Linked DNA regions of Notamacropus eugenii. The protein of the gene in region 4 purifies or fractionates together with the protein of the main gene of each other region. This does not show direct contact. Links are inferred from orthologs where the notes say so. Each region holds a gene or a part of one and is shown on either strand. Other genes may lie near its edges.

Evidence for each region.
Region 1: the proteins of CSNK2A2 (region 4) and EFCAB14 purify together in Homo sapiens (affinity purification with mass spectrometry; 4 studies listed by BioGRID and IntAct, with this or other methods). This does not show direct contact. The link is inferred for Notamacropus eugenii from reciprocal best matches to the Homo sapiens genes CSNK2A2 and EFCAB14.
Region 2: the proteins of CSNK2A2 (region 4) and ZNF687 purify together in Homo sapiens (affinity purification with mass spectrometry; 6 studies listed by BioGRID and IntAct, counting the BioPlex papers as one, with this or other methods). This does not show direct contact. The link is inferred for Notamacropus eugenii from reciprocal best matches to the Homo sapiens genes CSNK2A2 and ZNF687.
Region 3: the proteins of CSNK2A2 (region 4) and PIP4K2A purify together in Homo sapiens (affinity purification with mass spectrometry; 3 studies listed by BioGRID and IntAct, with this or other methods). This does not show direct contact. The link is inferred for Notamacropus eugenii from reciprocal best matches to the Homo sapiens genes CSNK2A2 and PIP4K2A.

The regions. Positions count from the first base shown.
Region 1 is NC_092873.1:507,796,366-507,803,925, forward strand, and holds the start of EFCAB14 (EF-hand calcium-binding domain-containing protein 14), read right to left. Parts: upstream 3,193-7,560; 5' UTR 2,987-3,192; coding exon 2,745-2,986; intron 2,524-2,744; coding exon 2,375-2,523; intron 1-2,374. Other genes in the region: cytochrome P450 4A25-like, read left to right, coding at 3,886-3,934.
Region 2 is NC_092873.1:305,102,795-305,110,436, reverse strand, and holds the start of ZNF687 (zinc finger protein 687), read right to left. Parts: upstream 3,077-7,642; 5' UTR 3,045-3,076; coding exon 2,960-3,044; exon of another isoform or gene 2,940-2,959; intron 2,462-2,939; exon of another isoform or gene 1,685-2,461; intron 1-1,684. UniProt on the Homo sapiens protein: May be involved in transcriptional regulation.
Region 3 is NC_092874.1:63,583,976-63,592,031, forward strand, and holds the start of PIP4K2A (phosphatidylinositol 5-phosphate 4-kinase type-2 alpha), read right to left. Parts: upstream 3,324-8,056; 5' UTR 3,239-3,323; coding exon 3,095-3,238; intron 1-3,094. UniProt on the Homo sapiens protein: Catalyzes the phosphorylation of phosphatidylinositol 5-phosphate (PtdIns5P) on the fourth hydroxyl of the myo-inositol ring, to form phosphatidylinositol 4,5-bisphosphate (PtdIns(4,5)P2). Has both ATP- and GTP-dependent kinase activities.
Region 4 is NC_092872.1:715,884,836-715,892,682, reverse strand, and holds the start of CSNK2A2 (casein kinase II subunit alpha'), read right to left. Parts: upstream 3,337-7,847; 5' UTR 3,195-3,336; coding exon 3,091-3,194; intron 2,494-3,090; coding exon 2,382-2,493; intron 1-2,381.

The DNA.
Region 1 (7,560 bases), on a different chromosome or scaffold from region 4:
AACACCACATGTGACAACAAATGCCAGCAGAGGCTACTTCGGCAACGTCTGCATGTACCCAGCTCATGGTAAAGGGCACAAAGCTGTAAGAGGGTCAGGGCAGAAGGAGTCTTTGGCAGTTATAAAGCATAAGCCAAATCAAGCTTCTCCTAAACCAAAGTCTTCCCCAGTGCCTCACTATGGCAGAGGTGCCCAGGACTCTTATGGGCATGCTGGCAGAGGTAATGGGCCAGGCCTTACTGCACTGAAGCATCTGGGCCCTGCAGCCCAAGAATGGACAAACTCAGTCTGGAGAATGGCTCTGATCAACTACTTCATTAATCTAGCTAAAGAGATACAAAAAGGCCACAGCTGGAAGGGAAGCAAAAACCACCTCCTGCCCCCATGCAATCATGGTCCCCAAGTTCTGAAAAACACACCCTGCAGTTGAGGTTAGGACCCACACTGCTGGACCGGAGTACACAACAACCACTACCAGCTGGCAAAGCGAACTGGACAGGGGCTAAAAAGGAAAATCAACTCAAATGTAACTCCCACTCCATCACAAATTGATTCTACACAGATGAAGAGAATGGGTAGGATGGACATACAGGCTCCCAAGAGAACAGCTACAGGTCCCCTGAGTAAAATCTCAGAACCATGAGCAGCATTCTCTCCTTCTCCGAGGAAGGTCCTCTGGAAGTTTTATTAAGGGCTAACTATTCTTGGGACAGACTGGGAGCCTGAATGACCGTGGACAGCAAACAAAGACAAGGGCCTGGGCTAGAGGTACCCTGTGATGGCAGGAACCCCTAGGCATGGATGGGAAGGCAGGAGGCATTTCCTCCTGATCCCTGGTGCCAAGGACTCTTGGAATGGTTTCTCTACAAGGATGCTGTCAGGGGTAGCTAGCTTTCTTGTCAGTTATGACAAGCGGCCAGCTCGCCTAAGTACTATCTTAAAGGTTTAGGGCTGCCAAGAAGATGGTGAGACGCTAGGCACTATTTTTAAGGGAAACTACTTTGCAAAGTTGCAGGTTGATATAAAAGGAGAAATGTCCTTGCCAAGGGACTCCTCCTAGATGGCTGGAGGCCCCTCTGTGGAGGCTGTAAATCCCCAATCACTAGAGATCTTTAACTCAGAACAGTCATATTCTGGCAAAGTTAAGGCTGAGCTGTCTTTCAGAGCCTCCTACGAGTCTATGAAGTTAAGACTTTCTGAAGAGCAGGGAGTGGTTCCAAAGTCCATTCATAGGCTGCCTTCCTGACTGGACGACGCCTGCCTGCTCCCTTCTGCCAAGCACACCCTCAAGTCCCCTCCTGTGGGAGGGCCAGTGTGGACAAGGCCCAAGTACTTGTGGCTCCTGTGGGGACCACTGTCCCTCTAGTGCCTGGCAGGGCCTCAATAAACAAGTAATGAAGTGAACTGTTTTCCAATAAAATATGCTCCTTACTTTTGGAAACATCCTATTAACATTCACATGTGGCAAAGTTAATTACAACTTGTAAAAGACTACTATGAATAAAAGTACAATCTAGAAGGGATGAGAGGAGGATGGAAAGGTAGAAGGATGGAGGCTGACCTAATTAACCAAACTCACTGACCCTGGCCATGAAGATGCTGGCAGATGCCCAGTTTTCCTTCTTGGGCCCATGGAAACTGTTTAGAAACATTTTCTTGTACACACACACACACACAGCTGTCATTCGCATCCTGATCTCCATTTCCACCCAACAGAACGCTCTCTTATAATAGACACGGAGGAGAGCAAACACACTGACCAGTCTGGCAGCACCGCCTCCTTCTGCGCCCACAGCCTGCCACCTAGCCCCCACTGACATCAGCAGGCTTAGGATCCTTCTCTCCTACTGCTCCGAAAGGCTCTATGGCCTGTGTTTCTCTGGGGATCTTGGGCTCAAAGCACTTCATTCAAAGTCATTCGCAGTAATCTCAAAGATCCCAGGAAGGTCGGTAAAGAGAACAAGCACCGAGCCTGCTGCCCCTTCGCAGGCGGGGGAGGTGGAAAGAGCAGGATGAGAGGTCAGAGCTCATCCAGCCCTGTTCCCTCACTTGACATATGGGGAAACAGAGGCCCAGAAAATGGAAGCGGCTCACCCGGGGTCAGAGAGGGAGGAAGAGGCCGGGGGCTTCCTCTCACTTCTCACCCGTCCTCCTGCGGTGCTTCATGGGGCGCGGAGCGGACCCCGCGCTGGGAGCAGACAAGCCCCGAGCCCCAGCCGGGGGGCCCGAACGCTTCATTTAGTCGTCCCAGGTGGGGCCAGCAAGGGGGCCCTTGGCCAAACACTAGGGTGCCTCCGGGTGCTCGGCACACAGCAGGGACCGGCGGTGATTAGGGAGGCCCCCGAAGCCCCCTCCTCCCGAAGCTCCCACTCACGCATTCTGAACTGATCCTTGAGGGCGTCCAGGTCCTCCTTGAGGGCCACCTGCATCCACACCAGGCCCACGCAGGCCACGGCGCACGCCGCCAGGATCACGAAGGCGCACAGGGGGTAGCAGACCTTGCAGCAGCGGAAATAGTCTCCTCTGCAAACGAACAGGCGCCGAGTCGCGGGGGACGCCCGGGCCTGGGGCGGCTGACACCCCCGACCCAGAGCCCGGGGAGGAAGGGCCCGCGGCCCTGGGGGGGCTCGGCGGCCGTGGGCTACGACTCCCGTGTGGCCCCGGTGTCCCGGCCGGACCGCGGGCTCTCCGGGGGAGGGGGCTGCCCGGTGCCCGCCCCGCCCCCCGCCGGGGCCCCCTCCCACCTGGCAAAGCGCGCGCGGGGGCCTCCCCCTCCCCCTCCGCGCTCGTCCTCGTCCTCGTCCTCGTCGTCGTCGTCTTCGTCCTCGTCCTCCGAGCTGGACGCGGAGCCCGAGGCGGGCGGCTCGGTGCGCAGCAGCCGGTGGCCCGCGGCGCCCTTCCAGGCCCGGCGGCTGCGGCGGCTCCGGCCGCGCCCGTCCCCGGGGCCCAGGCCGATGAGCGCGTTCAGCTCCTTGCGCTTCTTCATCTTCTTGGGCGGCGTGAGGGGGCCGCCCGGGGCCGAGCAGCAGCCGCCGGGCTCCAGCGCGGCCCGGCCGGAGGGAGGCGGGGGGACGGCGCGGGCGGGCCTCTCAGCCGCTCCGCTCCCTCGGCGCCTCCGGCTGCGGCTCCAGCTCGGGCTCGGCCTCGAGCGGCCGCCGAGTCCGCTCCCGGCCCATGGTCACGGCCCGGCCCGGCCCGAAGCCCCGCCCCCAGGGCCGTGGCCGCCCGCCCCGCCCCCCCCCAGCAGCGCGCACTCCCATTGGCCGTCCAGCGACGTCACTCACCTGTGCGTCGGCGCGTGGGTGGGGCCTCCTTAAAGGGTCCGCGAACCCTATTCCTGAGGCCCGAGCGCTCCGGGGCGGAATACTAGGAGCTGGCGCTGCCACTAAGGGACAAGGCTACTACGTGTACACACCGCGCAGAGCGCTTGGGGAGCTTAACATCCATACCCCTTCCCCGTGGTACAGATGAGGAAACTGAGGCTCAGAGCAATGAAATCCTTTGCCTAAAGTAAGAATCCTCAGGATGGAGCTGGAAGCGACCTCGGAGTCCATTCCAGTGGGCACCTGGGGAAACTGAGGCCGGACTGGCGAAGCCACTCCCCCAGAGACACCCAGCTAGAGAGTGGCTACGCAGAGGGGATGCTTTTTCCTGTACCAGTCCGCCAGGCTTCTAGTCCCGAATAGCCGAGACTGGGCTGCCTCAGTTTCCCCCCTGCACAGGGAGGGGCAGGCCCAGGTGCTCTGAATGAGTAACGAGGCTGCTGACCCGCATTTGACCGAGTCCTTGTAGTGCGCACCTGCCAGGCACGGGTTGGGCCCCCTAGGGAACAGAGGAAGGCAAGGAGCTGGCCCGGAATGGATGTGATAAGCTTTTACAGGGTAGATGGAAACTGTGTGCAAGAGGATGCGCTTGTTCTTTTTACTTGTAGCTGGTACGAAGCCTGGCACGGAGGAAGAGCTCCCTCTATGCCCGCTTGTTTGGTTCCTCATGGGGTGAAGGCAACCAACCCGGAGACGGGAAGGGAAAGCCCAAGGTCACACAGAGCTAGGAAGGGAACCCAGGTGTCCTACCTCTCAGCGGTGCCCTTCTGAATCCCCGGGATCGTTTTCTTGCTAATTTCTTTTTAGAAGTGGCCTAATTCATCTGAGGTCAGACAGAGGGCTGAGTAGGAAAAAAGAACGCAGGGTGTGCTGGGAGGAAAACCAGTTATTATCTCAGTGGTTGTTTCCCTGGTGGCATAAAACAGGACAGAAATGCTCTTTGGTTCAGGCAGCCCAGGACCGAAGCCCTCTGGAGGCCAGGCCAGGGACAGACAGTCCAGGGAGGAGCCAAGGACTGGTCTCCAGGGCAGTGGCAGGGGATCAGTGATTTGGCTGGGTGGCTCCCCAAGGTGGCCACCCACTTTACAGACAGCCTGTGATCTGCCATGGTGGAGGGAGGGCACATACCATGCAAGTCACATGTCTCTAGAGCTTTGCTCTTTCTGTTTTTGTGGTCATAATTATGTTTCAGCGAAGTGGGAAATGCAAAGTATGAAAATAAAACCAGAAGTGTGTTAGGGGAGCTCAGAGGGCTCTGGGGGCAAAGAGTCAGGTCTGCTCCTCACTTTCCCTTCTGGAGACAGAATGACTAGTATGACCATAATGGCTTTACCTTCAATGGGCATGAGGAGCAGTGCCCAGGTGAGGGCTTCTTACCCTCTCCCAGAGAGTGAGTGAACCTAACACTCCGTAGGATTCACCAGCACTGATTCAGTAAGTTTTAGGACCTGGTCAGGAAAATGGCTAAGCTGGAGGATGCCAGCTCAGTAAAGGCCATGGAATCACTCTGGGCCAGGGGGCTCATTGTGTCCAGTCCAAAGACTGATTCCTCAGCCCAGGGAGGGCAGAAGCCCTCCACTGTCGCTGGGGAGGGGGGTGGGAATCAGTCCTTACTGGGTTGCACATGTGCACATTGTCTGTTAAAAAGTAAGCTTCTTGTGGGCAGAGACTATTTCCTTATGGCCTCTATATGTCCAAGCTCATCAAAGTGCCTCTCCAGGCAGCAAGCAGGTGTTAAATGTTTGTTGCTTGTTTCTTTGTTAAATATCATCTGATCTGGTGGCTCCATTTTACTGCAGTGTAAACTAAAGCCTAGGGATTTGTCCCAGGTCTTATGTATTAAGTAACCCAGCTGGGAATCAAACCAAAGGTTCTCTCGGTCCAGATTCAGGTGTTAGCAAAACTGGGTCACTAGCACTGACCTACTGCCTGCAGATGATGAGGACTACGGATCTGTGGCAGACTCAGGCCTTGAACTCGGGTCCGGATCTGCTGCCCGGGCAGCCAGCTCCAGCCTGGCTCCTGGCCATAGCCTCTCTGGTCCTTATATCCCTTCCCTCAACACTGACCGGCTGCGTGCCCACACCCCACCCCACCAGGAGGAACGTGGCTTTACCCCTGGGCACAGGTCCAGGAGGCATCCCCTTTCGGACCCAGCCACCACCCCAACTGCCAGTAGGTCTGTTGGGAAAACAGCCTGTGAAAAACCTGAGTCCCATTCTGGATGCTGCCTGCTGCTACTTCTGCTCTTGCTTTCTGCTCTGCCACAAAGTCTTTTTAGAAGTACTGCCTCACAGAATACCTTGAGTCAGGGGCAGACCCAATCTCTGAGTGCTGAATTGTGGGAAGGGGCCAAGAGGGGGCGGTGCACATCGTATCTTAAAGGCATCTAGGTGGTGCAGTAGATCTGGAAGAGTGAGGAACACCCAAGTTCAAATCCAGCCAATGATACTTAAAAGCTATGCAACAGAACATCTGGTTGTCTTAGTTTCTTCATCTGCAAAATGGGGATAATACTAACACCTACCTTCCAGGCTTGTTGTAAAGATTAAATGAGATAATGTACAGACAATGCTTTGCAAACTTTGAAGTGCCACATAAATGGTTTTTATTGTTCAGTCGTGCCTGACTCTTCTTGACACTATCTTGGATTTTCTTGGCACAGATACTGGAGTGGTTTGCCATTTTCTTCTCCAGCTTATTTAATAGAGGAGGAAACTCAGGCAAGCAGAGTGAAATGATTCACCCATGGTCACACAGCTAGGAAGTGTCTGAGGCCAGATTTGAACTCAGGAAGTTGAGTCGTTCCGACTTCAAGCCTGGTGCTTTACCCACTGCACTACCTAGCTGCCCCTAGATAAATGTTAGCTAGCTATTATTTCTTAGGGCATAATATTCCATTACTGTAATATTTTATAAATTTCATACCCATTCCCCAATTAATAGGTATCTTTTCCCCCATTCTCTTCTAACACAGACAGTTGCCATGAACATTTTCGTATATATTAGACCTTTGTTTCTGTCTCTTACCTCCTTGGGGCATATTCTGAGCAGTAGAATTGCTGAGTCAAAGGTATGCACAGTTTAATTCTTTTTTCTTGAATACTTCCAAAGTTGCTGTCCAGAAAACCATTCTGAAAAGTCACCGAGAATAAACTAAAATGTCCATACCTTTTAACCCAGGCATATAACCCGAGGAAGTCAATGAGAGAAAAAAAAAACCCATATATACCAAAATATTTTTGTCACACTTTTTATTAGTGGTGGAGTTGGAAACAGTGGGTGCTCATCAAATGGGAAATGACCAAAGTTTAGGACACGAATGTGATGAAATCTGATGGCATTATTAGTGAAGAATATGGCAAAGCTTGGGAAGACAGTGCTAGCTATTTTATCGTAGCCCTGCTAAAGTGCTGTGCTCTGAGCTATGTTGCAAAAAAGAAAAATGATGTCCTCAGGGAGCCTCCCACCCACTAGGAGCAATATATGCAGAACACAGGTGAGTATGATGTAAGGTGGAATGTGATGAGAGCAAAGGGAGGATCCAGACTAGGAGCTCAGGGAATATCTGGAGAAAATCTGCAGAAACCCAGATCCCTCTCACAGCAGGCTTCCTGGAGGAGGTGGCAGCTGATCAGGGCCTAGAAGGAAAAGGATTTTCAAGGGTTGTACCAGGGTGCAGGCTGGTGCCTTCTTTGGGGGAACAGGGTGGCCTTGGGGAGAGTGTGGAGAAAACAGCTAGGGCAGGGCTCATCAAGGGTTAGGACCCAGGCATCTAGGTCCCACAGATTAGAGATCTTCCTAAGTTAGGGGTTTCTTAGCCCCTTATCTCAGAATAGTCTCAGAGATGCAGCAAGGTTGGCAGATACTCCTGCACTACCTGGGGGCAAGGGGAGGTTAATTTCTTGGGAATTGTGAGGGATGCATCTCCCTCTTTACTGTAGAAAGGTAAAGCCATTTACAGACATCTAGTTGGCAGGTCAGGGAGGGCACTCCAGGGTTTCCATTGGAAGAACTGTAGCAGAGGAGGTGGGGAGATGCCAGAGGAACTGCTCCCTCCCCTCAGGTGCCTCACAACCCTGGGGAGCCCATAGTACCTGGCCCCTTTCCAAGCTGCAGGTGGTTGGGTTCCTGGAATTTCCCAGAAATCCTGGAATTCTGGGATTCCTGAAATTTCTCTCCCCACCATCTGCTTCAGCTTCCAGCTAAACATCTGTGCCCAGATGTGAGGGAAGCC
Region 2 (7,642 bases), on a different chromosome or scaffold from region 4:
GGGAGGGAAAGCATGGACTTGACATGGAAACACAGAACAGAGAGAGAAGAGAGAGATAGGACATAAGGTTGGAAAAGGAGAATAATGATGGGCAGTTTAAATATCCCTTGATAAGCAAAAGGAAGCCATGAAGTTTTATCAGAAGCGGAATGACCATCTCTAAGAAAAATGTTTCTGCCAGCAGCATGAAGAATGGATTAAAGGCCGGGGAGGGTATGGAAACGGAGTCAGGAAGATAATTAGGAGGTTATTGCAAGAGACCAGGTAATTGGTGATGAGAGCCTGTACTGGCTTGATGTCAGTGCGGGGAGCAGGGAGGCTGAGTTGAGACACAGATGACCCCCATCAGCACCTTGAAGATTCAAGCAGGGGAAAGTCCAAAAGAGCTGCTGGGGAAGGATGGAGGGGAGGGGAGGGAAGGGCTATGGAGGGATATGAAGGGATAGCAGGAGGAAGCTGAAGACAATGAAGTGAGGTAAACACAGAAAGTCAGAGAAAGAGATGGGGATGTGTGCAGGCATGTATGTATATAGCAGAAAGGGTCCTGAGGAATTCAGAGAGTTTACAGAGGGCTGAAATCAGCTGAGGTTTTAGATACAGACATGGGACCCATCCTTGAAGTGACTCCATCACTCAGCTCAGTACCCAGCAAAGAAAAACAATTAATCAATAACTGTTAAGGCTCAAGATTGGCCACAGGATCAATCAAGGTCATCTGTGGGTCAAAGGAAGCCCACAGAGATGAGAAAGGAATTGGGCCAAGTGGTCAGAGCAATAGGATGGGACACAAGAAAGGTTTAATCTCATCACAAGTTTCACTTGGTTTCAGCTTCCCCACCCTATAAAAGGCAGAGAATGATTCCAACTCCCTACAGAGCTGTTTTAAGGATAAAATCAAATAAAAATTGGATTTCAGATCAAATAAGGACATCTTAGATCTGCTAAGGATTAGGATGAGTGGGCAATGGAAATCTGAGACTGGGACCATTTGAGACCATCCATGGTTATCCCATAAATTCAAATCTGGGCCAACTGGGGTGATTCTTAACTAGAAGGGAACATAAACTGATCAATGTGGAAAATGGACTAGGGAAAACAGAAATACAGAGAGATTAGGTGAGAGATCCAGAGACAATGACAGTAGATCTTGTCACAAAAGTCCCAGCTCTGGGGCCTCTCCTCAGTCACAAACACCTGCTGCTCAGTTCCCCAGCCTTCCCTAGAGTGGCACAGACTTCCCTCAGCCAGCCCCTCCTTTCTTTTTCATATTCCTCTCTTCTCCTTTCTTCCCAGGACAAGGGACCAAGATGCATAGGAGAACTTAATGGCAACACTGCCCCAAAGAAATTAACCTAGGATTCAAGAGGGGGCTGAAGGAGAGACAGGACCCCACCCCCACCCCCCTTAGGCTGCCAAGGTAAAAAGCTTCTCAAACCATCTTGGTGGCAACTAATTCCATTCAAACCCAGCCACAGTCCCTCACTCTGTCCCAAGGCCGTAAAACAGAAGTAACCTTCAATATCTTACCCCCTTCTACCCCTATTAAAAAAAAAAAAGAGGTAAAGAATTGAAATTTGGCCAATCTCTGCAAAAACAAAGCTGACGGAGTCTCTACCTCCACAAATCCCCTCCCCTTTCTCTTTTCTCAAGATGCCTTTGGTCCTCCAGGGGCCAGTTCCCTCACCTGTCCCCAGACCCAGGATGGTAACTGGAGATGGTCTCTGCAGGTGGCAGCAGGTACTAGTGGAGGGACCTCTGGGAGCCAGTGGAGGGGGGAGGGGGTAAACCTATCCAGCTTGAGGCAAAATGGGGAATCCTCTCCCATTCTTCAGCAAAGTCCCTTACTTTAGTCTCTAACTGGAAGCTCTCCTAAGAGCTGCCTGGCTATTTCTCATAGAGGTCCTCCCAGTTCTCCTTGGGGCAGGTGGAAGAGGAGTGGCAGACTATGAAGAGTACACCCCACTTCATTCACACACCCCTCTCCGCAACTAGCGGGGGAAGGGGGGGGAATCAGGCTAGGTTCTGAAGTCGTCCCATAGCCATCCACTTCCAAAGGCAGAAGCAGCCTGGTACTCAAGGGAAAGCGCTCTCCGGCCTCCGAGTCTCCAGGTTGTTGGCCGCCCACCCCTCTGAGCTTTTCCTTCAGTTTTTGCCCAAAAGCCAAAGGGGAGGCCCAACAGGGCGAGTGCCGCTCGGGGCACATGGGGGAGGGGAGGGCAGGAGCGCTCCGCTTTCCACGGGCTCCCACGGCCTGGCACTGGGGCAGGGGCGGGAGGGGCCGCGGCCGGCGCACACGAGGCGATTAGGCTGCAGACTGGCTGGGCAGCGGGCGGAATTAAGTCCCTGCCATCTGCTGAGGCACAGGCTCGGAGGAGCGCAGCGAGGCAGAGCCGGGGAAAGGCGAAGGGGGAAACTGAGGCTGCCAGGCGGGGGAGGGGTCTGGAGGCCCCCACACAAGCGGCCAGCCTGCGGCGGCTCGCGCCCCGGGGCCCACCACTCCCTCCTCTCCTTGGCAGGAGTTTCAGGACCGCGTCTCAGGGCGCCCGTAACCGACCGTGGTCCGGGGCTCCCGGGGCCAGCTCGGACGCCCTCCCGGCTCGCCGGCTCTGGCTTCTCCCAGGGCCCCCTGGGGTGGGGTGAGGCGGGGTGGGGCGGGGCGGGGCCTCAGGACATCAGCTTCCCTGGGAGGCGCGAGCTGGGGGAGGGGGAGGGCTGACCCGCAGGCCTCAAGCCTTCGAACCCGGGCCCGGGCGCGTCTTTCGGGGCGGCCGGTCAGCGGGGGTCGGGAGGGAAGGAAAGGAAGGAGGGCTGCCGGTCCGCGACTCCTTCTCCCCCGGGGTGCAGGCACCATGTTGGGTCGTGCTCCCTCGCGGCCTCCCGGGACCCGGTCGCCGCCCTGGGCCGGAGACTAGGGGGAAGGGGCCGGCAGCGAGGTGCCTCCGGTCCCCCGGGTATTTACCTGGCTTGCCGGGAGCGCGGTTCTGCCGGGGGTTCACCCACCCCAAGCCGGACCCAGGTGGGCGGCGGCGGCGGCGGAGCAGCATCCTCACGGTACAGATTTCCACCCCCAATCCCCCCGACGCCTCCCCCCGAGAGAGGGGGGATTTACCCAAGTGGGGGAGGGGAGGGTATTTACCCGCCCCCAAGGAGGGGGCGGGGCCGGAGGCGGGTATTTACCCGGGGCGGGCTTACTTGTTCCGGTCCCGGGCCAGGCTGACACTATGCGGTCTTTACCCAGCTCCTGCAGACGCCGCTGCCGCCACCTTCCCCGCTGCCTCCGTTTCTCACCGCGGCTACTTCCTGCTTCTCCACTGTAGAGCTTTTTCCCCCTCCCTCAACCCTTTCGGCGCTCCTGGCCGGAGCCGCCTGCTTCTGCACTCGCCATTGGATGTCACGCCCGTCGCTCGCTTTCTAGCCCCGCCCATCGTCAGATACTAGTGGCTTCGGCTGACGTCGCTCTGGACGAAGTTCCCTCTCTCCTCCAATCCTCATTGGGCCGGGGCCCTCGTCACTCAGAGGACCCCTCTCGCCATTGGTCGCCGTCCTGAACGAAACGTGCCCATCCCTCTTACCTGAGCTTCTTAAAGTTCATTGGAGGAAGCTTCAGTCGCTTACCAACTGCCCGGCCTGATTCCCTCTTTCTCCACTGGAGTAGATTGCTCTCCGACGTCCCTCGGTTCTCCTAAAGCCCATTGGCCTGTCTTCATCTATGCAAATATGAAAGAGTTTTCAGTTTCTATTTGATGAAGACTTAGAGAGGGAGGGGCAGCTCCTCCTTGACTCCTAGAGAGACCCGGATAGGAAGTACCCTGTCCAAGCTAGTTTCTCATACAAACGACCTCTGCGACAGAACGCCGCGCCATGACACTATGGCGACGCTACTACGTCACCTGACGTCATGACGAGCTCTGGTGTGGGGCAGTACCAGTTTTTCTTATCAGCGTGGTGACGTCACACCAAACTACACGTGGCCTAAGGATGCTCCTACAGCCCCACTTTCCTCGCCTTTTCTTTCTTTCTGTGACGTGGTGGAGGGCGGGGGCAGGGGACACGTGGAGTCTGGCTTGACTTGGGCATCCAGTGAGTGACCTTGCCACCTACCCCTAATGGCCCCTTTGTGGCCAGTGGGCAGCTTCTTATCTTCTTCTCCTGACCACCCACCTTGAGTCTCCCTCAATTTGATGAAGTCATAAAGGCTTGACTTCCTCTCGCTGTGCTGCCCCTTAATTACTGGGGGGTATTATTACAGGGTTTGGGGTTGAATTTAACCCTAGAGACCCAAAACAACCTTTCCTTTTGGGCAAGAAGAAACTGAGAAACAGAAAAAGGAATTTGGCCATCAGAATGCCCGCTCCTCCCCATCATTGATACCATACAGTATGGTGCTTGATGTGCCTAGACCCCTCCAAGAAATGATTGGGGGGGGGCAAAGTCCTTGCCCTCAAAGGCTTATAACCCACGCAAGGTAGCATACAGCAAAGGGGCAAACCCAGAGTTTGGACAACCATGGCTGTTGAGAGTTCAGGAGAAATCTAGCCCGGATTTGCCTTGGCATGGAGGACTTTGGACGGCTGATGGCTTTAAAGTAAGACCTGGGCTGGAATTCCACCTTGGCTCTAAGTTGTCATAACTCAGGGCTAAGTCAATTAAGTTAAATATGTCTCAGTTTCCTTATATATAACTGTGGACTCTGATTCCTCTCAGAATTGTCACATGAAGTAATGTATTTATGTGAAGTGCTCTTCGGTAGGAGTTAGAAGAGGAGATGAAGGGAGAATGTCCCTTTTCAGGAAAAAGATATGTTGAAAAAACACCCAAAAGCAGGATTGTGAATGTCATGTGTAAAGGACAGAGAAGTGACCTGTTCAGCGGGAGTAAAGGGGAATCCTTGAAATGGAAGATGTAGATGGCAAAGAGGTTATGGAAGATGCTGGAAGCCAGGTTAAGACACATGATATTCATCATATAGGCAATGAGAAGCCATCTAATGCTTTTGCTGAAGGGAGCTGAAGGAGGTAGTTTGGGGCTACTTCCTGGGCATTTATGACAGCCTGTTTTTCATTCCTTGGAGTGTTTTGGAGACTTGTGCAAAGTAAGTTATAAATTCAGAAATCAATACCAGACCACAGATGAAATGCGTCACTAGTAGTTTTATCTATCCAAGGAAAGGACTGTTTATAAACGTAACAGATTGCAAATTGTAATAATTTCATCATAAAGTTGAAATTGCTGGATTCCAACCTATCTGGATATGTTCCGAGTATTATAGTAGGGGTTCTTAACTTGGGGTCTTTAAAAAAAAAAAAGTAATAACTGAATATAATAAATTTAATTTCTTGCCTTTGTAATCCTATGTGTTTTATCTCATGCGTTTAAAAATATTATTCTGAAAGAAGGTATCCATTAAGTTTCACCAGACTGCCAAAGGAGTCTGTGACACAAAGAAGGTTAAGAGCCTCTGTCTTAGGGTAAAGCCTACACTGATCTAGATTTGATTTATAAATCTAAGATGGGGAAGAGAAAGGCATTTATTGAGCATCCACAATGTGCCAGCCACTGTACCGTTGCACATTTTATAAATATCATTTGAGACACACAACCCTGTGAAGTAGGTGCTATTGTTGTCCCCATTTTACAGTTGAGGAAACTGAGGCAGGGAAAGGTTAAGTGACTTTCCCACAGGGTCACACAGTTATGAAGGTCTGAAGCCTAATTTGAAGTTAGGTCTTCCTGACGTCAGGTCAGTGGTTTTAGCCACTATGCCACTTACCTATGGATGAAAAGAATATGGATTGATGGTATGATGGAAAAAGCATTAGATTTAGAGTTAGCCAACCTGGATTTACATCCTGGCTAATCTATAATAGGATGACTTTGGAAAAATCACTTAACTATTCTGCATCTCAGTTTCCTCATCTGTAAAAAGAGAATTAGATTAAATGATTGTAAAAGTTCTTTTCCTCCTGGTCCTGTAAATTGTCTCTTTTATTCATCTCAGGTCACAGATTTAGAGCTGGAAGGTTTGTTGTTGTTTTTTTAATGAAAAAACATTTATTGAATTCCTGTTGCTACTAAGTACCAAGTGCTATGCTCAGTACTGGGGATGGATGACAACTACAGAAAGACAATCTATGGTCAAGTACACACTTGAGGGATGGTAGGGTGAGGAAAAACAACATATTATAGAGTTCAGTTGCAGGATAAATGAAAAGACTTTTAAAAGTTCTAAGTCCTAAAAGTTGTAACAATGCACCAGAGGGGCAGATTGCATGGCCTAAACAGGAGCTCCCCTAACCATCAATCTTGCATCTCTCTCTGTCCTCCATTCCCCCTGAGCTCCTGGGCCACATACTGAATGAAGTACATTCAGTACATACAGCATTGGAACAACAAAATATTCATTCAGGTCAGAAATATACAAAAAGCAGTGGAAAGCAATCGCCACCCATGTTCTCAGTAAATGGCCCATACCCCTTCCCCAAAAGTAGCCTAGAATTTTAACTCATTTAAATAATTCTAATTCCAATGGGGAAGTTTTACATAAAGTCTGTCTGTAACTGAAATAAGAGGTTGTAAAATGAAGTGAATATAACATCCACATTTCTGCTTAGAAGGCAGCTGGTCTTACTATCTCTCTGTACCTAGTATGACTCCTTGCTTTGTGGAGCTTCAGGGGTGCTCCGTGGCTACTTGTGTTCCTGAATGTCCCTCTCCTCCTCCCAAAAGCCTATCATCTCCATGATCTCATTCAAAATGATGTCTGTAATCCATCTTTGTTTTCTGGACCCAGGTATCCTGGGAAATGTAGTACTTTCATAATTACATTCAAATAGAGGTTAGGGTCTTTTAGGCCATTTTACCTGAAGCAGGTCTACTCTTAATCCCACCTTCTATTGGAAGCCTTTCTCAATCCCTCTTAATTCTAGTGCTTTCCCTCTGTTGACTATTTTCTGTTTATCCTATATATAACTTGTTTACTTGTTGTCTCTTCCATTAGACTGAGTATCTTGAGGACCAGGACTGTCTTTTGCATTACTTTGTATACCCAGTGCTTAGCACCATGCCTGATACATAGTAAGTGCTTAATTTGTTGACTGACTGAAAAAAAATGGATATCCCTAAAGCATAGATCTAAACATAATCAAAAAGCTTAACTCCTCCCTATGGCCCTAGAATAAAATATAAACTCCTCTGTTTGGCATTAAAGTTCCTTCATTATCTGGTGCTATTTCCAGACAGATTATAAATTACTCCTTCTCCCACACTCTCACCTAACTGGTCTTCTTACTTTTCCCTATGACTTGAGATTCCATAACCTGCTTCCATGACTTGAGATTCCATAATCCGCTTCTGTAATTTGAGATTCCATAGCCTACTTCTGTGACAGACACCAAAACCCCACCCTTCTGCCAATCTTCTCTTTTTCTGTTAAAGTCAACACCATTCTTTTTTTCACTCTCCCAGACTCGTACCCAGAGCATTATTCGCAACTCGTCACTCTCTTCATCTCACATATATAATCTGTTGCCAAATATTGTCATATCTTTTTTTTACTTAATAGCATTTTATTTTTTTTCCAATTACATGTAAAGATAGTTTTCAGCATTCATTTTTGTAAGATTTTGAATTCCAAATTTTTATC
Region 3 (8,056 bases), on a different chromosome or scaffold from region 4:
TCTGTCTCAGTCTATCAAATTTTTCCTTCTTTTCCTTCAACTTTTTTTAATGACTTACAAATTCTCCTAAAGATACTGTAGTTGCAAGATAATATCAAATAACCAAGCAACACTTCAAAACAGCAGGACAGATTGGGATCTGTAGTCTATGGCTTCTAGTATACTACTATATACCTAGGGCTATCAAATTATACAAAGAATTTTAGAACTGGAAAGGGCTTTATCAATAATCCAGTTCAATCCTCTTTTTTATAAATGAGGGTAGATAGGCACAATGGCTTTCCCAGGCATTTGCAAAACCAATTAGCAAAGACTGCATAAAGGCTCAGGTATACTGAACTTTTTACTATAACTTGATGCCTGATGAGAGCAGAAAAACAAACATGCACTTTCCTTTAGTAGTCCAAATTAACATGGATCAGGGCTGCTAAAATATACAGTCAGATTAAAACAATTAAAGTGAATATATTTTCTATCAATATCAATTATGTTAGAAAAGTAAAGAAGGGACTGCTCAGACCATCCCGTCTTTCCCTGCTCTGTTTTTTCTAGTCATTATCCCTCACGAACTGACAGTGCTATTCTTACTCTTTTTTTCATTCTGTTGACATTTTGCCATTTAGTTCTCATTACACAATTTTATGCATAGTAGCTTATAAAAACTAATTACTTTTAATACAAAATATTGTACAGGCCTTTGTCCACTGACATAAAATTGGCATTAGAGTGGTTCTATTTCAAATGTGTGTTCATCTATTTTTTAATACAATTAAAGAAAATCATCTGACATTGCTAAAAAAAAACTAAGACCAAATAAACACAAGAACTCTTCTTAGGTTGATATCAAGTTTTCAAAACAAAGACATTGTATATGAAGAAATGTTTGCATTCATAGCAATTTTTTTTCATTTTTATGTAGTAGATGCAAATATGTGACTTTTTAATGAATAGCCAAAATTAATTTTTCTATACCTCAATTATGTCATGCTATATATCTGATCCCTAAAATCAAATGCGTAAGGCTAAATTATTTTCCCAAAAAACCCAGTTGGTCCAATTTTTTTCAAGCTTATTTCTTACCACAAAATAAATGTAGCAGTCATATGAATACAAAGTAACAATATAAATAGTTACAACATACTTGCTATGACCATTGTTACAATGTTTCCCTAGCATACTTGCCTTCCATTAAAGGCGACTCAAGAGATGAAAGAACATTGCTTCAAAGTACAAAGTAAAATTACTACCATTTTACTATGTTAAACAAGCCAATTCACACTGTCAATCTCAACCAGAAAAATAGAACCTTTGTGAAAGAGAAATCTATCAACAAACAACCGAAACCACAATATAGTCTATGTGTAGAGTCTAGAAACTCATGAGTAGAAACTTCACAGTCCCACATAGCCGTCAAGATACTCCTACGGCACTCAGGGACCAGCCACCAAAAATATATCATCCCAGAAAATTATATTCATCTCAGAGGAACTTTTTCGCGAAGAAACCTGAGAGTTTTTGTGTAATAGTGTATTTTCTGTCCTAAACGAGGACACCTTGCACCTGTAACACCAAAAGAAGTTGTCAGGCTAAAATGGATTTAGTCATATCTCAAATCTTCAGCTTCTAAAAAGAAGTCACTATTCTACTTGACCTCTTTAACACTAAATTTCACGAAATTAATTCATACATGCTTCAGGACCTATACCTGTACACATAAAACCACCTTTCCCTATCCTCGACTTAAAAAGGCAAGTTAAAAACTCAGTAATTTGGGGTCATTTAAAAAGACTTTCAATCTAAAGAAGTTTACTTTTTCCTTCATTTAGACTCAAGGGAATGCATATAAAATCAACCCAAATTCAAACTCTGGAGAGCTTTCTTTCACTTTCCACCTCAGATGATTATTTGAGGAACAAAATTCAGACATTTAAACTTGCCTGGCTCTGTCAACAGCTACTATCATGTTTCCTGATCCACTCTAAGTAGATTAAAACGGCAGGAGTTTCACACTCTAAGATCAGTATGAGGCTTACTTCAGACCCTCAAATCGCAGTCCGCATAGCCCACAGCAGTGCATCTTCAACTCTCTTGGCTACCTCTTAAAGTGAGACATTAAAGCATTTTGCTGAAGGGATAAAATTTAACAAATATTTAACAAGCAGGATGCTGGTTATGTCCGGAGCCATTCCCTCAAGACCCTTACCCCCCAATACTGATCTTCTGTAACTCGTGACTTAGGTGCAGTTATTTGAGGAAGGTCAGAGGGTAAGAGGAAAGAAGGAAAGAAAAAGGGGGGAGCAACAGAGGGGCCAAAAAGAGGAGGAAATGAGAGAGGGAAGAGAAAAAAGGGAAGAGAGAGAGAAGAGAGAGGAGGAAGGGTCTGGGGAGAGAGAGAATACTTGGCTATGCATGTCTTGGGTCAACAGCAGGATAACGTAATTTGGGGAGGCGGTGGAGGATGGGAAGGGTCTCAAAACACAGTTGCCGTAACTATGCTGTCTTTTTCTTTGCCTCACTTCTCCGCACTCCCCCTCCCCCAACCGCATTATGTTAAACAGTACTGCCCTTAAACTGAAGAAACGAGCCCCGTCTTCCTAGACTTCGGTATTTCCTACTTGCAAGGAAGCCACAGAGCGCACCCAGCGCAATGACAGGTATCTCTCTATCTTCCCTTGGAGGAGCTTCCACTGCGCCCAGGCTGGCCGCCTCTCCATCCGTATGGGGACCAGTGCCCACAGGGTGGGCGCAAGCTCCCACCCCCGCACCTCGGGTGGCTGGGTGGGGGCGCACACGCACACTGGAGGGGGGGTTAAGCGCCGCCCGCTAACTTCCCCCGTGCCAAGCAGCCCCTAGTCCCACTTCCACGGAGCCCCGCGCGCCCCCCCGGCTCCGGGGAGTGTGCGTGTCCGGCGCGGCGGGCGCAGCCCTCCCGGCCCCGTTATCTGCAGCCGCGTCAGGGGCCGGGATGCGCGGGCCAGGCGGGGGGAGGGGAGAGGAGGAAAGGGTGTCCCCCTGCAGCCGGGGGCCGGAGGGAGGACGGAGGGAGGACAGAGGAGGGGGAGGCGGCCACCGCCCCCGCGGCCGGAGCCCTTACCGAGTGGTTCACCCCCCACATGAGGACGCTGAGCAGCGGGTCGCTGGCTCGGAACAGCTTCACTTTCTGCGCGACGAAGTGCTTCTTCTTGGTCTTGGTCTTGCTCGCCATGACCGAGGACACCAGGTTGCCGGGGGTCGCCATGGCCGCCGCCGCCGCCTCGGTCCCCTCCAGCGCCGCGCCGCACCGCCGAGGCCGGGGAGCCGCCCTCGCTCACACGCCGCCGGCCGGGAGCCGCGGCCGCATGCCGGCCCCGGCCCCGCCGCCGCTCTCCACGGCCGCCGCCTCCGCCCGCTCCCGCTCCGGCTCCCGCGCCGGGCGTCCGCGCGCACTGGGGGCCCCGCAGCCACCGAGGAGGAGTCGCCGCCGCCGCGTCCGCCGCCCGCCCGCTCGCTCGCTCCTCTCTCAGCCCGCGGCTGGACCAGGCGCGCCGAGAGCGGCTTCCGCGTTGGGCGCTGGCGTCATGACGCACGAGGCGGGCGGGAAGCGGGGCCGCTACGGGGTGGGGGGGTGGGGGGGCCCGAGGGGAGTGAGGGGGGGCCCGATCCGAGGCGCTCCTGGCTGGGGGCGCGCCCCCGGGGCGGGGCGGGGCGGGAAGAGGAGCGGGCGCGAGCGCGAGCGCGGCCCTGGGCTGGGGTGTGAGGCTTGGAGGGGAGGGGGGATGGAACAAGAAGGAAACCCCCACCTCTCGGGTAAGTCCGGGAAAGAAAAGCCACCAGAGAGGGGCCTGCCTGCCCGAGAGGGGAGAAGCAACGGGGCGCAAGCCTCGCAGCCGGCACTTTTATTATAGGGCTTTACATAATTATTTGACACCATCTCTGAGGACTAGGGCACAGGTATGAGCATGAGCATCCTTCTCCGCTTCACACGCGAGAAAGCTCAGAGGCAGGAGTCGGGCCCAGCTCTTTCGTGACCCCAAGTTCACTGCCTTTTTAGATAAGCCTCACTGCCTCCTTCACAAGATGTCACAGTGGCCAAGACCAGGATCGTTGCAAGTACGAGCAAAGGGGGTTTTCCTGACATCTGGCTGGACCAAAGACAGGCTGACTCCCACTGACCTTTCCGGTCTATTTAATTTTACTTCCCTTTTACCTGCTTCCACGTTCTAGTCAATCCGGACTCCTACGCATCCCCCTTCACCAAGTACAGTGTTCATCTCCCACTTCTTTTGCTTTTGCACAAATGATACCCCATGTTTAAGCTATACTCCTTCCTCTCTCCTCCTGCCTGATAGAATTCCTAACTTCCTTCAAAGCCTAGCTTCAGGCACAATCTCAAAGACAGCTTTAATCCCCCCACTTATTAGTGTGCTGTCGAGTGCCCTAGGCCTTACTGCTTCTTTTAACTTGGTAGTATATGTACTATTTGTGGATGATCGTTGGATCCACTAAACTCGGTAGAGTACCGACCATCTCAGTTTTTGTCTTTGTTATTCCCGGTTGACATTTCATAAATATTTGTTGAATTGTCTTAAATAACTCTAAAAAACTTCTTTACAGACCATATCTCAAAACTCATTAAGTCTTACCGACTGGGCAGCCACTTCTGACCACCACCAGAGCTCCTACTGTATTGAACCTTCCATCTAGTCCTTTAAAAACTTTCACCAGACTTTACCGTCTTCTCAGGAGCTCTCCTCTCCCCTTTCTTTCACAATCAAACTACTAGAAAAAGCTAACACGTTCTGTGCTTCCATTTCCTCTAGTCTCACTCACTCTGCAGCCCTTTTGCATTCAGGCTTCCAACCTCATCACTCAACTAAAACTGCTCCCTATGAAGTTACCAATGATCTCTTAGTTGACAAATCTGATCTTTTCTCAGTTGTCATTCTTGATCTCTCTGCAGCATTTGACACTGTCAAGTGCCCTTCCCTGCTGGATGCTTTTTCTGTTTTCATGTCACAGTTCTGTACTGGATCTTTTACCTGTCTGACCACTCTTAAGTATTCTTTGATAGCTTATCATCCGTATCACACTCCCTCAACTCCCATGACCTCTGTCTCCAGTTTCTCACTTACACATAGGTGTGGTCAAAGTCTGTTCCTTTCTTTCAAACCCTCTGCCCTAGGTCCAAGAATTACTAGTTGCACTTCTGATCCAGAGAGTGAGGAGAAGAGAAAGCATTTGCTAGTGCAGAGGCTGGGAAAGGTGAGGACCATCCTTAGAAGTTAACGGAAACAAAAGCATCTTTAAAACAAGACTGTCAGTGTAACAACATTACTGTTTCATACTATTTCTCATCTAATCTGATAATATAGGACTTCTTAACCTTTCTGTATCATGAACCTCTTTGGAGGTCTTATGAAGCATATGAACCCTTTCTCAGAATAATGTTTTTAAATGCATAAAACTAAACACATAGGATTACAAAGGAAACAAATTATAATGAAATGCTTTTATTAAACTATTTTTTAAAAGTTCCCAGACACCTTGTTAAGAATCCCTGAATTCATGTAACATACATAGGTTTTCTACACATGGAAACATTTTGTGAGCTGTTATCAATTCAGAAATTTTTTCTTGGGTACTTAGACTGGGTTCAGGTTTCTTTTGTCTGACACCTTATCAGGAAGGTTGGATACTCTGTATATATTAAGCTTAATTATTGAGTCATCACAATCACTAACATTAACTTAGTACTTCCTGATTGCAAAGCCTTTTGTAACTAGTGGGGAGGGAGATAGTCTAAGTATTAGCCTCATTTTACAGATGAAGCTCACGTGGACCATGTGAGTTGTTCCAAATCGTATAGCTTTTAAGTGACAGCCAGAACTATACTGCCTTCTCTGCTTTCTTACCTATATTTTATGAGTGTGAAGTGATAAATCAATCGTGTGAACTGACCCTAATACAGGCACTTATTCCAGCAATGGAAGAAGTAAAGGTTGGCCAATAGAACTGTCAATAATCAAAAAAGTTTCTGAATTTTCCTTCTAGGAGGACACAATGGAAAAGGAAATGGGGGAAGGGGATTCCTTTAAAGAGAATCAAAAGGAAGAAAATATAGAACAAGAGAGCCTGAGATCTCTAAGGATATGGAAATGAGTCAAAAAAAGACTGGCATTATACCCCCTGCTATTGAACCTCTTGGCATAAAGTGTGTTATGCTGCCACCCTAGAAGGATGCCCAGGGTGCTCGAGCTTACAAGCAATACTCCAGTAGCTCATCACCAAGAAAAGATGGGGATCCCCATATTATATGGTTGAAAGTTACTCAGTATTTTCTGTTTTTCTTTTTCTTTCCATAAATTAACCAGATGACTAGCATCATCCCACTTAAAGTGTAGTGAACTCATGGTGGCCAAACTGTACTATTTTAGGAGGAGGAGGAGGCAGAAGAGCATGAAAGTTCTAGTTGGTTTCCTCCTTGGACATAGTACATACTCAATAAATCATAGATTTAGAGTTTGGTGGAACTGTCATTCATTCAGAAGACTCCGAGTTTCTGAGAGGTTAAATGATGCTCCTGAAGTCACACAGATAGCAAGCAATAAAGCTGGTCTTCAAACTAGGTCTTGTGATTTCAGATACTACATGACTCCTTGTTTATTGAATTAAATTAACATTATTAAAAAAATAATACTTCTCTTCTTTCCTTTGGCCTTGCTATTTTAGGAGTACATTACATATAGCTATAGAAGTAATATTGGAATTCTGAAGTCATTCTTTCATGTTACAAATATCTAATCAAGTGACTTTACAGTATGCACATTACATTCCTCCTCAAAACAACCCTGTCCTGAAGATAGTGTAAATATTATTTTTTCCATTTTGCAGGTAAGAAAATTGAGACTAGTTAAATGATTTGCTCAGGATTCCAGAGTTAATTTCACAGCCCTGACTCCAGTCTAGGTCTTGTGACTTTAGGAACAGTGTTCATTAACATTGCTGAACTCTCCACCTCAAAACTTTTTTTATTACCTACTGAGAAGACTATAGAGAAAGCAGGTTTTCCTTGGATCCTATGACCAGGAGTTTAATTAACCAATCATAAACATTTATTAAGCAGCAGCTATGGGACAGACACTATGCTGTGTGCTGGAGAACCAATATAAAGATGAAACAGGTCCTGACTCTATCACAAGGGATGATATGCACATATATAAAGAAATCAAAATATATATGAAATTAATGCAAGGTGATTTCTGGAGGGGAAGGTACAAGCAGCTGAAGAGAAAGAAAAGGTTTCATGTAGAAGGCAGCACATGAGCTGAATTTCAAAGGAAATGAAGGATTGGAAGAAGGGGAGGTGAAGAAGGCACATATACCAGGCATGGAGGATAACTAAAACCACGATGTCATCAGACGATCTTCCACAAGTGGAGAGTGTGTGTTATGAAAACCAAAGATAACTTTAAAAAGAGGCTCCCAAAAAACCTAATTATGTCATTAATCAGTCAACAGAAGGCTTTTCCTTTTATTATATCTAAAACCTCAAATTATACAGGAAAAATATTAAACCCAATAAATGTTATTGTTGCTTATAATTTTATTTTAATTCATTTTAACCTGGGCCTGTCATTTCGTAGGTATAGAGAACTCCAGTGAAAAAACTGTATCTGCCAATACATACCTAAAACTGTTCTGCAATTGATAGTTTCACAGAAATGCTTCAGACAAAGACACAGTGAATAGTGTAGAACTAACATTTGGTTAACCTGAAAAAAAGCTTTGATAAGTTATATGGTCCCTTTCCATTCATCATATATCAATATTAATATGTGTGTATGTATATATGCATATATATGTAATGTACATATATATGTACACATACATATACATATATATATATATATATAGCCATGCTTATTTCTGGCTAAAACAGTCATCTAAAGTCATTTCTTTATATGCAATATATTACATACAATTACATGCAATAATATAGTTAGTACAGCTTTTTTTAAAAAAAGTATATCAATAATCTCATTGAAGCAACATGATTGCTAAATTCACTTAAAAGATT
Region 4 (7,847 bases):
AACCATAGAACCAGCTCTTAATCTGATACAATAAATACCATTTAGTGTTCTGATCCTAAGTTAGGAAGCAAGAGACACTGTAGCTTGGTAAACAAAGCACTAGACTAAAAATCAGCAAACCCCAGTGCACTGCATTTTTTTCAGGTACACAAAGAGCATCCTTTGGCAAGTTTCTCCACCTGTAAAAATAGTGTGTAAAGCTTCCATCTCACTAAACTATTTGGAGATTGAACAGCCAAGTGTTAGTTTGATTAGGGGGATGGGTATAATTGCCCAGTGAAGCCAATACTCAGAATTATTATAAGGTGTAACTATTGAACTAAACTGACTTTTAAAATAAACATTTCTCAATTTATAGGTAAGATTTATCTACAAACAACTACATTAGGCTCTTCAAAGTAGTCAACCTTACAATGCTATATACATATTCCAATCAAGTTGCCATTTACTCAAAACACTTTTGGAAACTCTAAAAAAAGCTTTCAGAACAAATACCCTCAAGAGTAAAGAAAATAACCAAAAGGCATCTGGAGCCAATTCAAGTGAGTGAGGGCGGGTGCTCAAGCTGGGGAACAGCATGATGGGTCAAAAAAAAAAAAAAAGAGGTAGAAAAATGAGGTTGATTTTTTTGTCATGCTCATAGCCAGTTCTGGATGCAATCCCAAGAGGAAGGAGTTTCTAAAATGTTTTGTGCAGTGAGAACATCCTTAGAAAAAGTATCTAGAACTTGAAAGATGACTATTTGGAAGAGGCCAGTACTTACAAAAAAGGCAGTGTTAAAAAATTCCTTGCATTATGGTGATCCCTTGTGTTAACAAAGAGGAAAGTCAGCTTCCATCTATCATCGGCCCTGCCTGGTTGTGCCACAGCACTTACTTTCCTGCTCCACCAGCAGCAGGATGGATCACTGTTGGGAAATTGTGACCCACTGCCTCCTCCGTATTGCCAGAGTAGAAACTCAAGAATACACATCAAATGAGGATCATCATTCATAGATAGTACTAACACTAAGACATGAAAAATGTTTTAATCCTGCTCTTATTCTGCAAATCTACTCAAAATGCTGCTAGACCAGGAAGGCCTAGGTAACAGCTGTGCTCATTTCACTGAGTTCCCTTTATTTTTCATAATTACTTGAATAAATCAGAACTGACCTGCCATAAGCACCTATCAGATTCCAAGAGTTTCTATGCTGTGCCCGTTATCAAACATTATCATGAGTCAGAACCCAAATATACTATCAACCTGGGAAACTTCAATCAAGTATTTGTTTGTTGTGGCTATGCTGGGTGATAATTATGTAAGAGTTAACAGAAAGGTCCATGGCTGTAAGAGCATGCCACTACATCCTCCATTAAAAAAGCCAAACCCAAATTGTTGTTTTAGGAGCTCTATTCTTTTGTAGCACTGATTTCTGCCAGGAAAATAGCTACCATAGAGGCAACACTTGATTCCAGAGGGCTCCTCCTTCTGACTTATTCCAAATGAGTCCATGTTCTACTTTTCCTGACAAACTAATAAACATCCCAAGATACTACATCATGACCTCACAGCACATCATCCCAGAACCAAATGAGCAGGTTATGCTCATTGCCACCTCTGACCAGCATCATTCAACCTTTGAATCCTCATCGGCAGATGAAATTTCCTCTCATAAATGAATAAGAACATCCATTAAACGTAAAATAATGCTCAAGCAAACTCTGCCCAAAGGAAGGTACAGGAAATAAGCCAACTAATTTCTGAGGACAATCTACTGATTTGGCAACTAAAAAAACAGGTAATGGAATTCAACCTGAGATGTTCACTGGGGGGGGGGGGGGGGGGGGGGGAACCAGAATCTTTCTATTAGTCACAGGTCCCATCCATTCCTAAAACACTACGCTAGATTTGTGTCAAAATTACCCCTAGTTTGTCATTTTTTGGCGGTGAATAGAAAATGAGATGGGAAAGATTAATGTAAGATTTTCAGTTGGATGGAAAGCAAAAATAATCTCTTCTGCATAATGAAATATCACTTATTACCCTGGAAGATGGTGGTGAATGTTTTGCTTCTGAACTAGAAAACTACAATGAAATTTTAAATACAACGTAGTAGTGTGGATAGAGCACTGGACCTGGAATTAGGAAGACTCAAGCCAGACTTCTGCCCCAGACACTTGCTAGCTATGGGATCCTGTGAAAGTCACTCAGCCTCTGAGCCTGAATTTCCTCATCTGCAAAATGGGGAAACAGCTCATGCTATCATCGGGATGGTGAGGCTCAAAGGAGAGAAGACATGGCAATGGCTTTGCAGACCTTCAAGACCTACAGAATTATTAGCTATTATTGCTCTTATCACTACACTCCTGAGAGTGACCATCAACAGGAACCTGACTCACCTTGAGAATCTTGACAACCACTCTCTCATTGTTGGTGATGTTGATGGCCTCAAACACTTCGCTATATTTTCCCCGACCAAGTTTCCGAACCAGCTGGTAATCGTCCTGATTACTGTGAAAGCAAGAGACACGTCTGAGCCACGGAACTACTGCAATCCTGTCTCACACACACTTCACCCACATGGAGCCCGGGGACCGCGTTCGGCCACAAGCCCTTCCCTGGCCCCCTGAACTCTAACCAGCCACGCTGCAGGAACCCGAACCTATCTCAGGGGCCCGTGCTCCGCTGAGAGGGGGGATGGGATAGGGACCCCAGCTCTGACTAGCAAACGCCCCTCTCCACGGGAGGCAGGGGATGGAGTGGGAACCCCGATTCATTGACCCCTGGTCCACCAGGGGAGGGGCTTGGAATGGATGGGGTAAGGACTCCCCTGGAAAGGGGGCTTGAGGAAACACCCCGAATCTAATTAACCCTCGCTCCACTGGGAGGGAGTAAGAACCCCGATTCTAATAGACCCTCCCCCCCACTGGGAGGAGAGCGGGGTAAGAACCCCGACTCTACTTGGCCCCGGCCTCTCCCCAGCGCCCCTCCCGGGGCCCCCCGCCCCCCGCGGCCTCGGCCGCCCCCCGCCGGGGCCCGGGGCGCCTGCTCCTCCCGCGGGGCCGGGGGCCCGAGCACATGGGCCCGGGGCGGCGGCGGCTCCTTTACCCCCAGCTCGGGACGTGCGCCTCGTAGTCCCAGTACTCGCGGCTCCTCAGGCTGTTCACCTCGGCGTAGACCCGGGCCCTGCTCCCGGCGGCCGGGCCGGGCATGGCGGGCGGCGCCGGGCGGCAGCGGGGGGCGCGGGGCGGCGACGAGGGCAGGGGCGGCAGGAGCGGCGAGCGGCGGCCCCGGGGCGCGGAGCGCAGGAAGCCCAGCAGCGACGAGGCGGCGGCGCAGGCGAGGGCGGCGAAGACGGGCGGCCGAGCCAGGCCGGGTCCGCGGGGGCGGGCGGCGGGGCCGGCCTGGCCGGGCCGCCCCGGCCCTGGAGCGGCCGGCGGGCGGAGGGCGGGGCGGGGCGGGCCGGCGGGCGGCGGCGGCGGGAGGGCGCTCGCGCTGCGGCTCCGCGGCGGCCCCGGCTCCGCTCCGCTCGCGTCCCGCGCTCCTCGGCGGCGGCCGCACCGGCGGGGGCGGCCGGGAGAAGGGCGGAAGGCGGGCGGGGAGGAGGAGCGGCGACGGCGGCCGCGGCGACGGAGGCCAAGGAGGAGGAGGCGGCGGCGGCGGCGGAGGAAACCCGGAAAAGGGGCCGAGCTCGGCAGGAGGGGCCCCGGCCGCCCGCCCCGCGGGCCGGCCCCGCCCACAGCGCCCCCTGCAGGGAGGGAGGACGCGGCGCCGCTGCTCGAGCCGCCCTCCTGGGGAGAGGCAGGAGCTCCTCCCCCTCGGCCCGTGGCCAGCGCTCCTTCCTCGGACCCCCACCCTGGCCAGCGCTCCTCCGCCTCGGCCCGTGGCCAGACCCTCCTCCCTCGGACCCCCACCCTGGCCAGCGCTCCTCCCTCGGACCCCCGCCCTGGCCAGCGCTCCTCCCTCGGACCCCCGCCCTGGCCAGCGCTCCTCCCTCGGACCCCCGCCCTGGCCAGCGCTCCTCCCTCGGACCCCCGCCCTGGCCAGCGCTCCTCCCTCGGACCCCCGCCCTGGCCAGCGCTCCTCCCTCGGACCCCCGCCCTGATCAGCGCTCCTCCCTCGGACCCCCGCCCTGATCAGCGCTCCTCCCTCGGACCCCCGCCCTGGCCAGCCCTTCTCCCTCCGACCCCCGCCCTGATCAGCGCTCCTCCCTCGGACCCCCGCCCTGGCCAGCGCTCCTCCCTCGGACCCCCGCCCTGATCAGCGCTCCTCCCTCGGACCCCCGCCCTGGCCAGCGCTCCTCCGCCTCGGCCCGTGGCCAGACCCTCCTCCCTTGGACCCCCACCCTGGCCAGCGCTCCTCCCTCGGACCCCCGCCCTGGCCAGCCCTTCTCCCTCGGACCCCCGCCCTGATCAGCGCTCCTCCCTCGGACCCCCACCCTGGCCAGCCCTTCTCCCTCCGACCCCCGCCCTGGCCAGCGCTCCTCCCTCGGACCCCCGCCCTGGCCAGCGCTCCTCCCTCGGACCCCCACCCTGGCCAGCGCTCCTCCCTCGGACCCCCACCCTGGCCAGACCCTCCTCCCTCGGACCCCCACCCTGGCCACAGCGCTCCTCCTCTAGACCTCCTTCTCTTTGTCCTAGCCTTGTTGGCCAGCGACCTTCCCCTTCCCCAGATCTCCCAGCTTCACCTTGCTCTTCTCCTCGTGCCTCCCAATCCAGACCTTAGGATCATGATCACAGCTAAACCAGCAAGCCCTTGGGAAGTGCTCCCCATGTGCCAGACACTGTGCTAGGCCCCAGGGGTACAAAGAAAGGCAAACAAACCATCAGGAGCTTATAAGGATCATCTATTTAGACCCAGAAGTGATCTTGGAGACAAACCAGTCCAGCTTCTTCCTTTTAGAGACAAGGGAATATGTGAGGGATAAGTGACTTGCCCAGAGTCACACAGCTAGCAAAGATCTGGGGCAGGATCGGAAGCCCAGTCTCCTGGACTCCATGCCCTTTGAACATTCTTCCTCCAGAGCTTCTCAACTCCCCTATTTCCCTCATTCCTTAAAAAGACAAATTCCATGAGGACAGAGATCAGGTTTTTCCTTGTATCCACAGCAGCTAACAGTGTTGGGAACACAGTAGGAACTTAATAAATGCTTCTTCATTGATCGACTAATCCGTCTAGTCCCCCTCTCCAAAGTTCCTTTGTCTCTTTTTCTGGATCCTCCCTCAGGGTCTGTCCTGGACCTCTCTTCTCTTTTCCCTCTGGGCTGCTTCCATTAGGTGATCTTATCAGCTCCCATGCTTTAATGACCACCTCTGTGCTCATGATTCTTAAATCTGCTTGCCCTGCACCAACCTCTCTGCTGGCCTGTGATCTGACACCTCCACCTGCCTTTCAGACATCTCACACTGGATGTCCAGCACACATCTTAAACTCAACACAGAACTCATTATCTTCTCCCTAAACTCTCCCTGTCCCACCCCACCCACCCCCATTACTGTTGAGGGCAACACCATCCTCTCAGTCCTCCAGACTTACAACCTAGTAGTCATCCTGGGCTTCTCAGTATCTCTTCAATCCTATATCCAAGCTGTTGCCAAGGCCTGTCAAAGTCACCTTTACAACATCTCTCAAATATGCCCCTTCTCTCTTCTGACACCGCCCCCCCGCGCTTGGACTATCCCCTCACACCTGGACTATTGCAGTCGCTGCTAGTGGGTCTGCCTACCTCAAGTCTCTCATCACTCCAATCCATCCACCATTCATAGGTCCAGTCACCCCAACCCCTCCCCCCACACTCATACTCAGTAAACTCCAGTGGCTGCTTCCAGGATCAAATACAAAATCCTCTATTTGACATTCAAAGCCCTTCATGACTGAGACCCTTTCTGTCTTCTTATACCTTACTCCCCACCAGGTACTCTTTGATTCAGTGACTCTGGTCTCCTGACTTTCCACCTCTCAGCTCTGGGAATTCTCTTCGACTTTCTGCCATGCCTGGAATGTTCTCTTTCCTCTCCTCCATTACTGACCTCCCTGGCTTCCCCAAAATCCCTACTAGAATCCCACCTTGTACAGGAAGCCTTTCCCAACCCTTTTTCATTCTAGTGCTTTTCCTCTCTTAATTATTCCCTACTTTTCTTGTATTGACCATGTTTGTGTGTAGGTACGTATTTTTTTCATGTTGTCTCCCCTATGAGATTATGAGGTCCTTGAGAGCAGGGACTGTCTTTTGTCTCTTTTTGTATCCTCAGCATTTAACACAATGCCCAATATGTGTTATTGCTGTTCAGCCATTTTCAGTCATGTCCAGCTCTCTGTGACTCTATTTTGGGGCTTTCTTGGCAGAGATCCTGGAGTGGTTTGCCATTTCCTTCTCCAGCTCATTTTACAGATGAGGAAACTGAGGCAAACAGGATGAAGTGACTTGGCCAAAGTCACACAACTAGTAAGTGTCTGAGGCTGGGTTTGAAGTCAGCTCCAGGCTCAGCACATTGTCCATTGTACCATACAACTGCTCAGGTACCTAACCTAACAGCCACTTAATAAATGCTTACAACCAGAACCTCCCCTTCCTCAAGATTCCTCACTAAGCCTCTCTCCATCTAGACCCACTTCAAACCCTATGTTTTAATCCATTTCAATCCTTTCAAGTAAAAAGGAAACAAAAACATTTAGTAAGTGCCTGTGTGCCAGGCAGTGTTTTGCAAACGTGATGTCATTGGATCCTTACAACATGCCTGGGATGTAGATGTTACTATCATCCTCATTTTACAGATGAGGGAACTGAGGCAGACAGAAGAGTCAGTCAGTGTATTGGCCAGGGCTGCACAGTGAGCGTTTGAGTTCAGATTTGAACTCAAGTCTTCTTGACTTCAGACCCAGTGTTCTATCTGCTGTGGCACCTAATTCTCTTATACTAATATGAGTAGACCACCACTCCACTGAGGTATAGTTTTCAGAACCAAGGAAAGGCTCTTGCTTCCCCCATACATACTCCAAATGCCAGAAAACTCATAATTAGAGCTTCGTTTCTTTAGCTCACTTGAAGGAGCACCACTGAATGGAGAGAAAGAACTCAGAACAGGGATTCTACATATACCCACCACAATCTTTGCCCATAAGTGAAATTTGGCTAGAGGTGTCCAGATCTCTTTCCAAATGAAATTCTCTGGACTGATTCTCTCTCTCTCTCTCTGTCTCTCTCTCTCTCTCTCTGTCTCTCTGTCTCTGTCTCTGTCTCTGTCTCTCTCTCTCTCTCTCTCTCTGTCCGTCTGTCTCTTTCTGTCATACTCTTTCATGTGAGAACCATATAAACTTCTTATTTCCTGAGACTTCCTACAACATTCCACTTTTCCCACATTTTCCAGTTGGACATCTCCACTTGGATGTCCATTTCAAGCTCAGCATGTCCTAAACAGAATCTATTTCCCTTTCCCTCACCAATTCCCTTTCTTTGATCTTTCTTGTTTTTGTTAGGGGCATCACCATCCTTCCATTCATCCAGGTTTCAGCTTCAGTGTCATCCTTAATGACTCTCTCCCCTTTACCCTACCAGAGCCAATGAGTTGTCAGTATCCAAAACTTGTCAGTTCTTTCTCAGGGACACCTTTCCCGTTGATCCATCTTGTTTGTCCTTTCATAGTGTTCTAGTTCAGATTTTGTTTTTATTTCTGTCTTTGTATCACCAGCACTTAAGTAAAGAAAACAAGCATTTTTAAAGTACCTACTATGTGCCTGACCCTGGACTAGGCTGGGCATATAAAAAGAGAAGAGGCAGTTAAGTGGTACCACAGTGCATAGAGTGCCAGGCCTGGAGTCAAGAAGACCTGAGTTCAAATTCAGTCTTAGAAAGTTACTAGCTAGGT